Linked DNA regions of Styela clava. The main gene of each other region encodes a partner of the protein of the gene in region 2 in a complex. Links are inferred from orthologs where the notes say so. Each region holds a gene or a part of one and is shown on either strand. Other genes may lie near its edges.

What was found. The genes of interacting proteins can lie anywhere in the genome.
Region 1: GATOR1 complex protein NPRL3-like (region 2) and GATOR2 complex protein WDR24-like share a complex: the UniProt entries of both Drosophila melanogaster proteins name them as parts of the GATOR complex. The link is inferred for Styela clava from reciprocal best matches to the Drosophila melanogaster genes Nprl3 and Wdr24.

What each region holds. Positions count from the first base shown.
Region 1 is NC_135253.1:6,287,159-6,295,743, reverse strand, and holds the start of GATOR2 complex protein WDR24-like, read left to right. Parts: upstream 1-5,247; 5' UTR 5,248-5,287; coding exon 5,288-5,886; intron 5,887-6,086; coding exon 6,087-8,163; 3' UTR 8,164-8,585. UniProt on the Drosophila melanogaster protein: An essential component of the GATOR subcomplex GATOR2 which functions as an activator of the amino acid-sensing branch of the mTORC1 signaling pathway.
Region 2 is NC_135253.1:12,145,403-12,153,210, forward strand, and holds GATOR1 complex protein NPRL3-like, read right to left. Parts: upstream 3,355-7,808; 5' UTR 3,353-3,354; coding exon 1,682-3,352; 3' UTR 1,340-1,681; downstream 1-1,339. Other genes in the region: uncharacterized protein LOC120325627, read left to right, coding at 467-1,339; lysophosphatidylserine lipase ABHD12-like, read right to left, coding at 4,022-5,179. UniProt on the Drosophila melanogaster protein: An essential component of the GATOR subcomplex GATOR1 which functions as an inhibitor of the amino acid-sensing branch of the TORC1 signaling pathway.

The sequences.
Region 1 (8,585 bases), about 5.9 Mb from region 2:
TCACACAACCGGAACCCTAACCTGGTACACAACCTGAGTTCAGGTTGTGCGCCATCTAGGTGCACATACTTCAGGAGGTCCCAATATTCTGTAATTCCTATCCTGTTGGATTTTTGTAAAGTTGGATTTTAGAATGTATATGGAAAAGTCCAGTAGCCTACCTATTACAGTATTCTGTTAATATTTCACCTCCAAATGACACGAAGCGAACTGCTTGATCTAAGTAAACTTTAATTAACAGATCATACCATACAGACTGCGCCATTTTCCAGTACAGCAGTACTGATATAAATTACGAATGCAGTAAAATTATAGGTATTTATCCTTGACGTTATTCAAACTCAGAAAAGTCCAACAATACCGAAATGGTAAGGGTACTAAGCATAACAAAACATCCTTATAACAATATAACTGCTGAACTGTATAAATTTCTTGGCTAACACATCCAACGTAAGCATCGGTGCATCAGATATAGTGTAATATTCTCAATCTACGCAATTACACAAGCCCACATACTTATTTTTTGCATGGAAAATGCAACAAGAATACAAAAATTGGACAGAGAATAAGGAAAATACGAAGCTGTTATATTGGAGTCTTCCTATTCGCCACCTACCGTATGTCAGTATGTCTCAAACACTACTCGATCTAATGAAAATGATGAACAAATCGTAAAATTGCAATAGCTTTCACAAGATACCTAATAAGCATAATGTTAATTGCCGTTGCACAGAAACTAACATCCTGATTGACCTTTATCTGTATATTAAGTTCATGCTTCCGAAAATAAAATACCGGTACCCAACTAATCCCATACCCGACATGGAATGGTAACCAGACTAGGCCGTGGTCCCCCATACCCCATATGGTCAAGCTGTCTTAAGGGCTTTCCTCTTCCCCGGATAAATTTGAAAATCCTATCCTATTCTATGTATTGACTTGACTTGTGAGCTTGTTTTTAGCAAATTTAGGATTTCTTTCATTTAGGTGATTAATTAGGATTTGCATTTCGAATCATTTGCTATAATAATATTTGGATTATTTTCTTTTTTTGCCAAATTTAATTCCAGAGCCAATTTCAGTTTTTGTTTTATATAATTTTTTTTTTTTCTTTTGGAAAACAATTGCATGTATTGCGTTCCAATTACGGTACCGGTAATCGAAGAAATTAAAACAGTATAAACAATCAATAATACATATCAAACCCAGTGATGATAATCCATTTTTCGTCATATATCCGTTTGTATTGAAGATTTTCCCTATTTCGTTATAAATATAGCATTTTAATGTAACGTTACATATATAATTATTTTCTATGCAACACCCTTGCCAAAAATTTATATTCTAGGCTACTCACATTCTAAAAATAAATGACATACCGGTACCGGTACCGTACAGTTCCTGGTTCATCGAGGCCGTATACCGGTACTGGAAAACCAACGTATACTACATAGTCTATTCAGCAGATATTACAGACAGACAGATAACAAGCAGCTGCCCCCGGCTAAGCGGGTTTTTGATGCACCAACTCTAAACAGGCTTCGCACCAAACATCACAAATTTTGTGAATTTTGGAATTTAGGCAACTCAACACCGCCACCTGGCAACTCCTCGACATCGGTTCACCACTTACCAAAAACAGCACAAAATTAAGTTGTATGACAATGTTCATGCAATGCCTCTGGAAAAACATGAAAAATAATGCGAAACATGGCGAAGAGAGATCTATTTTCCCACACAATGTTAGCATTATAAAATGATATAAAACAATATTGAATTGCTCTGGGTATGACTCATCGGTTCCCAAACTTTTTTTTGTTCATGCGGCGCCAAATTATCAGCAAAAAAAAGTCACGGCGCACTTACACGGAAACAATGCTTCTTTTCAATAAAACCTAATTTTGTGTTCGTAACATAACACTACGTAACAGAAAGTAAACGACATAGAAAGGTAAATGAATTTATTGCCCGATATACACAGCATTTAAAATGAGAAACAATAAAACATTTAATAAAAAAATTCAATATGTAAAATATTCAATCATATATTAGTTATGTTTAACAGCGCGGCGCCCCCATTGAAAACCGAATATTTATTTATTTTTATACTGGCTCGGTTTTGTTTTGATGATCAGTAGCGTACTAGATCTCAGTATGGGACCAGTCTAATAAATAATTTTACACATGTCCTCGAACCTCATAATCCTGCTGTTGAGTGTCGAATAATAAAGAAAATATCTGCTGACATTTATATTGTAGCAACCAATTCTGTCAGTTTGATTATGACCTCCGACGGTTTATATCTGCCCACTCCACATAATTGTCTTTTGATGCCAACAACGCAAAAAACAGCTGCACAAGAGAAGTTTCATTGGAACTACAATTGACTGCAAAAACATTTTGCGGAAAGCGACGCTGATCGGGATCGCGATCTACAACTTGAAACAATCTGTTTATAATATTATGCTTCCTATGTACTGCTCATGTTCAGACAAGCGATTACACGATGAAAATATACGTTTTTGAGTAACGCAACGGTCTGAAATATTTATAATTTCCCGATTTTTTTTATTACATAAGTATATCTTGAGGCCACTTTGTTGGGGCACCAACTATGATAATAATTTAATCATGTCCGACAAGTAAGACCAAATTTCATTAATTACCTGACCCTGATTAGCCACTAAGGCAAAATATTGTTATGTGGGTCACGAGATAAAATTCTGACGCAAATTAGGAAAAGTTAATAGCACATAAAAATTTTCAATCATTTGGTAGTCAACATAAGAATGGAAGAAGAACAAAAATATTCCTAATTATCAATTTTATAGGGCGAGAAAGAGAGAAAGAGAGTTTGTTATTTGCCAAACCATGAAACACACAATACATGCATAAATATATAAATAATAAATAAACAGATGCTTTGGTGTATGACTGGGAGACAACGATACGACCTTTTGGGGTCATCAGAGTCTGTTGCCACCCGTACAATTATATTATTAGTAATAATATATTTTATCAGGTACTGTGTAAGGTAATTCAATACCTTTCGTTTATTTATCATATACACCAGAGCTGTGCAAAGTGCCGCCCGCGGCCCACAAGGGAAATTTGTGTGGTTCGCGGAAAAGTGCCAATTTTTGATGGTGTGTGGCCATCGAAATTGTGTAATTCAGTTTATAATCTGGTTCCCTGTGCGTTGCAAAGCTCGTATCCGAGCCCAATTCACTGTTTATGCCTATGGCGTTACAGGGTCCTATATCTCCTAATTGATATTATTAAAAAATACAAAAGTTAAATAAATTTTGGTTTCAGCCTATCAGTTGATTTTGTCTAAATCTAATTTAGAATAAGATTTGACAGCAAATTATTTGGAAATTAATCTTGGCGATTTTTACCGGAAACATCTCTCGAAGCCTCGAAATATGAATATCAAATTGTTAGCATTTCCATTAAAGCAAATTTGGCTAAGGTAGTCGGGAAAAGAACCCAGCAGCAAATTTCCCACTGAATTCGTTCAAATTTGGAGTGACAATAAATTTGAATAACAGTTTGATAAATTTATGCGTCAACTCATCATTTTTGCAACGACCCATAATAATGCCATAAGATCAATAAAAAAAGACATTATTTTGTGCCTGTTACTTTAGAAAGCCTATGTTAAATGAAGGTGCGGCCCGCGGTTTTACCCAAGTATTGATATCAGGCCCGCCGGCGGGAAAGTTTGCACACTCCTGATTAAATACACTATTTACAAGACTTCCTTATTTTTGAAAAATAAGAAATTTTGTGACAAAAAATACTGTTATATTTAGCTGAAAGATTGTTGTATATTGCATAGTATCTAACTGCATGAAATTTTTTTCGTACATTAATATATATTACATATATTTTCTAGTTTACTAATTGTAGTCGACAATCTTGGAAATTCTGCCTGAAGTTAAACGAAACGACATTTTCAGGGCTATGCTCATGGGTATGCCACGCATATGGCGTTGATTCAAACTTGCAAAACATCACTGCTCGATCGGCGTCAAGAATACGCTTACATACTTTTACACGAAAAAGTTTATTCATAAAACAAACGAGTCATTTAGCTCTACTGCGGCTACGACCAACACACAAAGCTGTCAGTCTGTCACCGTAACCCCATACCTAATTTGCTATGATGATGCCGAGTTCTGAGGTGCCATAAATAAAACCGGCACCCAACTACACCCCCTGCGTGACCATGAACTAATATGTTTGTTCTACTTGTCTAAAGCCTTGCTTTGAGTGAAAACGTATAAGGCCTTATTGATGAAGTGTGGCAAAATACATTACCTATCGCTGGACATAAAATAATGAGTCTTTATGTGTGTGGTACCGAAGTGAACGTAAATTAATATGCACTTTTCTTGCTTAGAGTGAAAAATAATAATAAGTCCTTATGTGTGTGGTACCCAACTACACCCTCTGCGTGGACGTAAATTAATATGTCCCTTTTTGCTTGTCTGAAGTCTTTCTTAGAGTGAAAACGTATAGCACCTCATTGATAAAGTGTGGCACAATACATGACCTATTGCTTAAAAATAACAAGTCCTTAGGTGTGTTGCACCGTAGTAGTATATATTTACGGTTGTACCAAACTAGATTAATTGCGTGAATGTAAATTAATTAATATATCCAGTGTCAACCCACGAAATTGTTCAGATGAGGATCCGTGAACGTTGCTTGGTGAAAATAGGTGTCTCGCTTTAGTTCCGTTTGTTAATTAGGAGATCAGCGAAACGATCCTACGAGAGGCATGTACTTGCACTCTTGTAGGCACTGTGACGGGTGTTCGTCGCCCTTTGGCAAGCTCTATTTCAGTATTTCGTGATAGTGACGAATTTTTGGATGACGCAGTCAGGAATCATAAATGCAAAAATTGTTACCCACGCCCACTAGAAGTTATTGTGGAACGAAACTAGACGAGACCCAAAAATTGTTATGCTACGCCCGCTAGAAGTACGTTAGGTACGATACGAAACTACACGAGACCCAGAATTTCTGCAGAATGACACCTGACAGGAATTGTGGGTTAGCTTTTCAGATAGACAGGTCTTACAGTAGTCAGAATATGGTTTTATTCTTGATGAAATTATGGTACCAAATTCTGTAGTTGGTCAATTCACAAAAACATTACATTGATACGTTATAATTGAATAAAATTAAGACTCTGAGATAAAAAATAATTGACTGAATAAATTTATCTCTTACAGGTCCATTGATTAAATCCATTGAATACCGCATACTGGTATAGACAATGAAGAGAAATCAAATAGTATCAGATTTTGGCACTAATATCTCAAATGGAGTAACATATGCAAACCAACATTGCACAATGTATGTTGATGTGGGTGGACCTATCAACATGCTAGCAGCAAACAAAGACAGCTCTATGATAGCAGTTGCTGGACGAACTATTTTGAAAATATATTCAGTAGATGACACTTGTTTTAAGGAAAAAATAAACTTGAGAGTCGGAAGAAGACAAGGGCTCAATTTAAGCTGTGCTGATGTGGCATGGAATCATTTAAATGAAAGTTTAATCGCAACTGCTGCTACAAATGGAGCTATCATTGCATGGGACTTAAGTGCATCAGGCAGAAATAAACAACTCGAAATATTTACTGATCATAAAAGGACTGTTACAAAAGTATGTTTTCATAGTTCTGAGCCTGGGAGATTGCTTAGTGGTTCTCAAGATTGTACAATGAAAATGTTTGACATGAGAAAAAAGGAATGTATTGCCAGTTTCTCCAGTAAAACTGATGGTGTTCGATGTGTGCAATTTTCTCCTCATGAATATTTTCAATTTGCGGCATCGTTTGACAATGGTTCTGTTCAAGTTTGGGATTACAGGTGAATTACGCCTTAAGTTTGTTAAAAGTTGGAATTAATCAGTTTTGATCTTCTATGCTTTTGGTTCAAAAGTCTTCGTGTTGAATTTAATCATGAAATGTAAACACCATTGCAAGTTGAACAAATTTTCAAGTCATGACCGAGAAATATAAGCTAGTTTCATATGACAAAAGTTTGATTATTATAATTTTCTATTTCAGAAACACAAGTTCCTGTTTGATGCAGTTCATAGCCCATAAAGGATCTGTTTATTCAATTGATTGGCATCCGGATGCCAAAGATAAACAGAGAATTGCAACAGGAGGCAGAGACAATAAAGTCAAAATTTGGGATATGATAGATCACAAAATGTCTGAGCATATGGTGATACCAACAAATTCTTTAGTTGCCATGGCTCGGTGGAGAACGCAACGACGAGAACAGATTGCAAGTGTAGCAATGATGCTGGACCATTCTATCAATGTATGGGATATGAGACGACCATACATGCCGTTTGCTCATTTTACAGAACACACTGATGTTACAACTGGTATAGCGTGGAAAAAAAATGATCCAGAAATTCTATTTTCATGTTCTAAAGATGGGACTCTATATCAACATTCCATTAGAGATGCACATCGCCCATCAGAACACTGTAACATTTCTGGTCTTTCTGTAAGCGCTAGAGGATATATAGGACATGCGTCCACTGATAGTACAAATTCATATGATGCCATACCTAGTACTAAGACTAAAGGAATGACACGGTTTGGTTTTAGAACTGTTGTTGGGGTCGCTCCAAAACTGGATACAAACTCGTGGGTACAAAACACATTGTCTACTAGTAGTATGAATATTAAATTTGCTCGATTTCTAAATGCTAAATCAGAGCTTGGGATACACAGTATCACTCCTATCAAAGAAGATGACTTTCCTACTTCCTCGGACGTACATCCTTCAAGTCTTATCAAGGCCGCCCAGCAATACAAGCTACAAGGAATGGCATTTAATAAACTATGTTTACACAATGCAAAAGTTTGTGATGATCTTCAAATGAGCATTGATGCAAACATATGGAGATATTTGGAAAGGTTTTTTGAAGGAGTTTCGACAAAAAAGACAGAACGAAGCAACTCTACTACATTTCATACAAACTCAGCAGAAATAAGCAGTCTTAAAACTGGGAGAGAGTCTATGAAAAATGGGATTGTTACTGGGGAAAGCAACGGAGAAGAATCCGAACAACACTCAGATCCAGAGACTGAGCATTACCTGACAGATATAGCAAAGGGCCATGCTACATCTGAACAAGAGTGTTATTACTCTGATGAGTATGATTTGAGTGAGGACTTTGGGAAAGGTCATCACGGTGGTATTTCTTCAGGACCAGAAGGATACATGGATCAGGATTGGTATCCTCTTAGCGATACAATCAGTGATGCTACACTTCCATCTGAAGCTTTTAAACAGAGACTTGTACTAACTGCCACTGATGGTTTTGAAAACCAGCTTGATCCAGCTATAAGTGGAGAAGAAGAGAAACTAATAACTGCCGTTCCTGTTATGATTCCATCTTCAACATCACAGCAGAATCATAACCCTGAAAAATGGAGGAAGAAGAATAATAGTCGGAGTTCTGGCCCTTCAGCTGTCTCCCTGCATTCACAATCTTCATCTCCACATGAACAATTATCAGTATCTCCTGTGGTTTACACCAGACCCTATGAAAACCCTGCTTTGTCAATCAGTCGTAAAACTGAACTGCTTTCTTCAATGTACGAGTCTATGATAAGCAACGGCAACAACATTCAAATTATAACATGTACAATGATTGTCCTGGGTCATTATTATCCCTCAATAAGTCTTCCTATTGACGATCATCTGCTGGAACATTGGCAAAATTCATATCTGGAATTGGTCAGTCGTTATGAACTATGGAACCATTTCACTGAGATTATTAATTTAAGCACACTTCCTTCCATAAAGAATATGAACACTTCATCCACCCTAAACACCTGTTGCGGAATTTGCCATAAACGAATGCCAACTGCAAACCCATGGAGTTGTTCAAAACATTCTGATAATGATCATAAACAAGCAGGCATGGGGGCTGGTATAAAATGTTCACTGTGCCAGTTAGTTGTGAAAAGTTTGTATACATGGTGCCAAGGATGTTGTCATGGTGGACATATAGATTGCATGAAAGATTGGTTTAATTATCCACATAGCAAAGGCAGATGTCCAACAGGATGTGGGCACATTTGTGCTAGTTCTAGACATAGACTACCAGTCAAATGAAATTGGTATATATACAAACCTAATTATGTTTATGCAATTTTACACATTTTTTCATATCACTGTCAATTATGCTCAAAATGTAGTTGCTGGTCATGACCATATGTAATTACGGTCAATCACATCTTGGGCACTAAAGAAACAACTTCAATAGCCTCTGAATTTGACTCGTTCGTTTACTCATGCTCCCCAGGTAGATAGCAATGACAATGGCACAGATTTGGTCGCGCCAGAAATGTATGTACCAATGTGGAGGTAGATAATTTTGTTTGCCTACTTTACATCAAGTTGTGCAAAGGGACTGTCAAACCAATGGGGCCCAACACAGACCATCCCCGAACTCGTAAGGAAAATCATGATTTGTGGGTCGAACATTACATTCAAAACTGCATCCTGGCACAAGGTCGTTTAAATCAGACCACCAG
Region 2 (7,808 bases):
CTTTCATAGTTTTGGGGCTGCTGCTTTTCCGTAGCATTTCTTTATGCACACCGGTAGTGCGACCATAGATTTTACATAACATTGTCTCTGGTGCGGTTGACGGGAAAACCAGCTTACCGGAGTGGCTAGATTTGTCTAGCTAATGTCTGAATGTTGGTCAGTTCCGGTAATCCCTCAAATCTCACATAACATACGTTAGGGTACAATACCGGTATCCTCGACCGAAAGCCAGAAAAACTTGAATCAGTATCCTAGAATAGAAACTAAATCTCTTTGTTGTAACAATAAAGTCACTGAATATTAAAATGACATTTTCAATTTTTGCTCAAAATAGAGGGATAAGACTTTTTGTTCATATGCATTATTTACTTGTCCTACAAACATGTTCCTCTCGCTATGTTTAAAACAATTGATAAACCATTTTAAATTGCACAGATATTGAAAATGTAGCTATAAGGTTCAAGTTATGGAGTCTAATTTGCTAGAATCACTGCCTAGGCATGATGTTCTGTATCATAATGTATTCAAGTATTTATCTATGATCGATTTATTCCGGCTACGTGCAGTATGTCGACAACTTCACAATATGATGGAGGAATATTTTTCTCAATGCCATCACATCCATATCAAAGACTCTGATGGTATAGCGGATGCTACCACATTTGAAATATTAACAAAAAGCAATTCATCACTCCGGACCATTGTTATCCCCAATATCGGAGATTGGATAGACGACAACCTTCTTGTTCCAGTTATAAATGACTGCCCCAATTTATCGATCCTTAATTTATCACAATGTAAGGGTTTAACAAATAGAAGTCTATGCATATTAGGAATGTACTGTGAAAATCTTACTCATTTACGTCTGAAGGGTTGTACATGGGTTGACCACGACAATTTTATGGTGTTCATTTCCAACAACAGAAAACTGAAACTACTGGATTTACAGAAATGTTCTTTGCTAGATGATGAATGTGTGGAGTTCATGTCCAAATGCTGCCCAAACTTGGAATATTTGAACATATCAGAAATTAACCAATTGACTGACCAAAGCCTTGACGCCATTGCAAAAAATTGCCGCAAGTTAAAGCATTTGGATATCATAGAGTGCTGGAAAATGACAGATTCTGGTGTAAAGATAATAAAGGAATATTGTCAAGAATTGGAGACACTTAATTGCGAACACTGTACTAGCATTTCCGAGGATACACTCGAGCCACTTCGTGTCAGAGGAGTTAGCGTAGACATTCAAGGACGCTTGGAAATAACTCTACGAAGACTGGAACATGTGATTGACTATCTTTCTCCTTTAGTTAGACAACTAAACCACAACCTGTAATTTTATATGGAGCAATATATATTAGTATTTATAAAGTACCATGGACCTGCATTTTTTTTACTATTCAAATAACAGAAAGTCGCAAATGACCACCAGCTACATAGAAAAGAGTATTCACTATTTCAATAACAAGCAGCGAAGCAGGTGTCTCTAGAGTTAATGGAAACGAAATGTAAGTTTTAGAGCTGGTTAATCATATTTTGAAAACTATATATTTCGATTAATGGCAAATTGATCATAAAATTGGGTACTAATTCAAATTCTTGCTGTTGATGTAGTTTCGCCAATAAACCAGTTTTCTCAAAATGTAAATTGTAATTGCATGCATAAAGTGAAGACAATCTATATCAAACCCATACAAAACGCAGCAGTAGTTGAATCTTCCCTTGAAGTTGTTAATAAAACAGGTGAAAATTTATCCAACAAAGCCAGCAACTGAGTTCTTGATAAATTTTCATTATACATTATTTCTTCCATGTGACAGTTTCCATCAAAATATTTCAACAAATTTACAAATAATCTCAAATCTTTAGCGCTATTGGATGCATGGACATCCATAATTGCTTTCCTTTGCTTCCAGGGCAATCCTGCAATAATTGAACGAGTCTCTGTATTTTGAATCGGAGGCTTCTGCTCGCTCATAGTAGACTGTTGGTCAGCCTCAACAGGGCAGAAATATATAAAAGTGTGCATTTGTATTAAAAACCGATGTTGCAAGAGCCAAAACACAACTTGAGCTAGCTTATCTTCTTCACCATAAAATAGTCCGTGTGGAGTTTGGAAATCACTAAGACGAACTGGTAGTGAGAAATTTGACAACACATCCACCATATCATGGTTGAACCTCATGTAAAAAGATCTCGCTGCTTCTGAATTTGGATTTAGTTCTGCTGATGGCGCAATAACATAGATATTTGAATCGCATAACGGATATATAATACACGCTTTACCCCAATATACCAATTGTGACGTTAAAGTATAAATTTGAGTTAGCGGCAAATCTGCATCAGATGCAGTACATTGGAGCGATTTTGTTGGTTCGTAAACTGTTAATAATCTTGTAAGAGATGGAGTATAATCATCTGGTAAAGTCGACCATATTTCCTTTTTGTCAAATATGAGAATGCCATGATATGGCCTTATTTTTTCTATAGCTTTTTCAATGAAAGAAACAGATATTGTATTTTGTCCATACGAAGCCATATTATGAACTTTGTGAGGCAAACAAAAACTAATATGTGTTGAATTGTTTACTTTAACAGACAGGATACCTGTTTGACAAATACTATTGAATATGATGTGAAGCTGGTCGGCCAGGTGGGATTTTTCTAATATAGTTTTATAGGCGTGTTCAGGCTCTGCCATACACTCAGATTCTAAGGACATCTCGTCATGCACTGACAGCATAAGCCTTGTTTCGTGGGTCAAGTAATCGGAACATTTTTCTTCAAATCGCAAGGCAAGACCAAGTTGTAGTGCCAACTCTTGGTACTTTTCAACTATGGTGTACTCCGCTACCGCTTTTAATACAAACACAATGTTGAATGACAAAAGTGTAGAATCTTCCTTTTTCTTACAACCTTCATGCTCTTTGATGTTTTGCCTATATTTTTCCAAAATATCAAACTTTGATAATACACTGCTGAATTGGTCAATAACCAAAGGGAAACCTACAAAACGGATTCCATTCGTCTTTAGGTCAAACTTTTTTCCACAAATCTTGGTGTTTCCAGGACTGAGTATAGTTGCTAGTAGTTCATCACTGAAAGAATCCAACTGCTCTGCTTCATTTCTTGGTGCCTTTTTTACATCGTCCGAATCATCAGACACTGACCCATGTTGCCTGTTTAGATGAAAAGTTGATGATGTCAGTTGTTTGTAGGAAGACAATGGCTGAGTATCACTTTGAGATTTATTGTATGGATATCTGAACAACAGCTTACTGGTTATTCTACTGCCATACATTGATAACATGATACTTAATGGTATCCATGGTTGATCACTTCCACTCATAACTGAAAACACTGAAAAAAATAATTACAGTATTGAGAACCCACTGAATCAAGTTTTTTTCTAAACAATATTGAGTAAAAACCCGAATTTCTCAGTAGAAAGCCCAGTCATAAAAGTACAAACACCTCTGACCAAAAAGTAAAGTAATGAAAAAAACTGCACCCTTTATTTACAAAATGCAGTTTGAATACAACTTTCATTATTAAACAGAGAAGTAATTTATTGTGACTTTGTTGTATGTCATGATAGGTGCATTTGCTTAAAAAATAATCCACAATGTCAAGTTACCATACGGCATATAACACAATTTATAAATTAGTACTAATGTCAAGCTGCTATAATTTTCAAAACGTTCAAGAGGTTTTCTGCACAGATAATGAAGTAGTTTAGCTTCGAAGAAATTTATTTTTTGAACTTTTTGGTTGAGATCACAAATCTTTCGTCAAAAGCTCTTGCAGCTATTTACAAATGGCATGTCACTCGAGTTGAGGAATGTGATCCATGTCATTTCTCTATGCCTGATAATCACAATATATGAAGAATCATGTTATGAGTCACAGCAAACTAGGGACATGCATAAATTCCACTTTGTATTTGGGTATATATTGATAACGAAATTAAAAAAGAACCATTTATGAATTTGAGCAACGAGATAGGCTTTTCCTCTGATCACAAAGTAACAACCCTGTCTGAATTGTCTTTGTCTGTTAAAAAGTTACTGAGTAATTGAGGCAACTCTGGTGCCTTGTAAATATCCATGTGCCCGTATCCATGAGATGCTTTAAACTTGACAAATTCAATTCTTTTCCGCCTGTCTGTTTGAGTCGCTTTGCTTACTGCAACATAAAGTTCATCACTATGTTTGCACTTTATATCACTATCATCCTCCGCATGCAAGAGCATGATAGGACAATTCACTTTTGATATATCATTGATAGTAGATAAAGAAATATCCTTAACAGTTAAAGCATTCTCAAGAACAAAGCGAAAAATAGATTTAGGATAAATAACCATAAATATCTGTGAAAGACTGCTGTCCTCCGCTCCTTGTCGAACATTAGTGAGAGCTCCTTCCAAAATAAGATTGTCAATTTTATAACCAGTATTCAGATTATGGTCTTTCTCACAAATATCAGCAGCTTTTTTGGCTGCCAGTGTTGCTATTGACGATCCCAATGAATGTCCCCAGTATGTTAGTTTGGCGTTGGTTGCAATGCTTCCCCTCACCCAATTGAGAATGCATAAAGAATCGTTGACTAAGCCCTTTTCCGAAGGCCAGCCTGTTGAATCTCCGAATCCTCTGTAATCGAATGCAATGATGTGATATCCTTGAGATTGCAGCAATTTGTATAGTTCCGGTCTTTGGTAATGGTCCCCCGTTCCTCTTGACATACCATTACCATGATGGTATACAATAACATGTTCTGCATCTTTAAGATGGGTACGAACTACATCCGATGTCAATACATCGTCTTCTTTATATTCTGTCATTTTAGATTTTGGTAAAACATGCCAAACCCCAAGTTCATCATTGTCACATTGCATTCGAAATGAGGCTGTACCAAAGAGTTCATATTGAGTACTTGGCTGTGATAAAGATGCAGGTTCATTCTTTGCATAGTATAAATTCATAAATACAATTTGCTCTACTATTTGTGGTATAAAAGCCAACATCAAAGGTATTGCTACATAAAGCATAACAGTGAAGACAATTATTGACTTTACAACAGTTTTGCTTCCGCATGATGTATCATCTATACTTTCATTCGAAACTTTCACTGTTCCATGTTCTTTTTTATTCCCTTCATTAGATTTCCGCTGCCGCATACCAAAAGTTTTATGCTAGCAAATACAAGACACTGTTAAGAATCAACATTATATTAAATAAAAAAAAAACATTGCTCATAAACAAATCTGTAAAACTTGAATCAAAAAATATAAATTGACTGTTTAAAATGATACTAAACAAGCATGGAAAGAAAATTTTTGATTGTCCTAACATCTTTGAGAAGCTGTGGAATTTCAGGTGCATCTATATGCCATAACCATGTACTGCATAAAATTTAACAAAAGTAACTTTTTGGTTTTGTTTCATTCCATGTGTGCGAGGAATGACATCTTTACATACAAAAGCATTAAAGGGCAGCGAATAAGTGGTAAATTATTATCAGTCACTGGGAATCTATTTGCAATCGAAAATGATGGATCTAATGCTTTACTGATGATGAATACCCGAAAAAAGGAATTATCTGCAGATCCTCTTCTGACATCAGCAAACCCTCTTTTAAAACAAGTCCTTCAATTTTGCACATTCGACAAACAATTTTCTGGCAGCAACGGATGCGATTGATGCATCCAAAGAGTGCCCCGTAACAACACTGTCTTAGTGTTCATTCTCACACACTTGAGCAGGCATAGTGAGTCATTGACAAGACTCTATTCAAATAGCCATCCAGTAGAGTCTGTAAATCCTGGGTAATCAAAATCTATAGTGCAGTATCCCAGAGACTGTACGCTTGTGACATTCCAGCACTATGGAGATATAGTATAAAAATCCACGGATTCCATAATCAGCTGATCACAACATTTTCACTAACCACTTCATCTTCAACATGGAGATATAGTATAAAAATCCACGGATTCCATAATCAGCTGATCACAACATTTTCACTAACCACTTCATCTTCAACATGGAGATATAGTATAAAAATCCACGGATTCCATAATCAGCTGATCACAACATTTTCACTAACCACTTCATCTTCAACATGGAGATATAGTATAAAAATCCACGGATTCCATAATCAGCTGATCACAACATTTTCACTAACCACTCCATCTTCAACATGGAGATATAGTATAAAAATCCACGGATTCCATAATCAGCTGATCACAACATTTTCACTAACCACTTCATCTTCAACATGGAGATATAGTATAAAAATCCACGGATTCCATAATCAGCTGATCACAACATTTTCACTAACCACTTCATCTTCAACATGGAGATATAGTATAAAAATCCACGGATTCCATAATCAGCTGATCACAACATTTTCACTAACCACTTCATCTTCAACATGGAGATATAGAATAAAAATCCACGGATTCCATAATCAGCTGATCACAACATTTTCACTAACCACTTCATCTTCAACATGGAGATATAGTATAAAAATCCACGGATTCCATAATCAGCTGATCACAACATTTTCACTAACCACTTCATCTTCAACATGGAGATATAGTATAAAAATCCACGGATTCCATAATCAGCTGATCACAACATTTTCACTAACCACTTCATCTTCAACATGGAGATATAGAATAAAAATCCACGGATTCCATAATCAGCTGATCACAACATTTTCACTAACCACTTCATCTTCAACATGGAGATATAGTATAAAAATCCACGGATTCCATAATCAGCTGATCACAACATTTTCACTAACCACTTCATCTTCAACACAGTTTAAAAACAAAAATATCATCACAACCGCCTCAAAAATAATTCCATACTGAACAGAATGAGTCACTAGCGTTTTTATGACAGATTTCCATCCCATCTCTATTCCTACTTTTGTTTGGTTGAGTCTTCACAACTGGCAATCTCGGTCTAGTTTATTAATAATTAATTGACTAGAAACATATTGGTGAAACACAAATTATGAAAAATTGAAAAAAAGTGATGAATATAAAATTATTGTCTTGAATTGATGATAATATTTGAGCAATAATACAGACACTTGAAATTAGAATTATAAATTCACTGAATAATAACACCTAACAGTGGCAAATAATTAATTTCCTAGTCAAAATAATTTTTTTTTAGTGACATTAATCCTGCGATTACCATTATAAAGATAAAATGACAATTTACCGTTGTATTCGAAGAGGGCCATAAGTGAATTACTTGTGATTAAATACTGATGTTCAGGTCAAGGCAGTCGGTGAACAAAAGACTTGAACTATAAGTTCTTTCGGATGTTAGAAGTCTAGGGAGTAGGGCATATTCAAAAAACACGAGGTATGTTTTACAGACTGGAGGATATCTGAACAATAATGTGGGAATGCTTTTATGTGATGTTTCAATAATACAACAATTAATTTTTCATTCAGAAATTGCGATAACACTACTGATAAATATACTTTAGAACCTGAGTATATAGGCCACAAGTGAAAGAACAGTCAGACTACTTGCATTTAAATGGTGGTTCACTAACTGCCTGTAACCTGTATCGAAGACATCACAAGCAAAATCTATGATGTAGTTATAGTTGACAAAAACATAAAATAAAGTGACTCTACATTATTATTGAATATGCAATATTCACAAAGTATGATTATTTTATATGCAATAACACACTGTATAATAAATTGCACAACCACTATAATTGCAATAACGTGGTTCAAACTACACTAAGGAAACAAACTCTAACAAGGCAGCATTCCA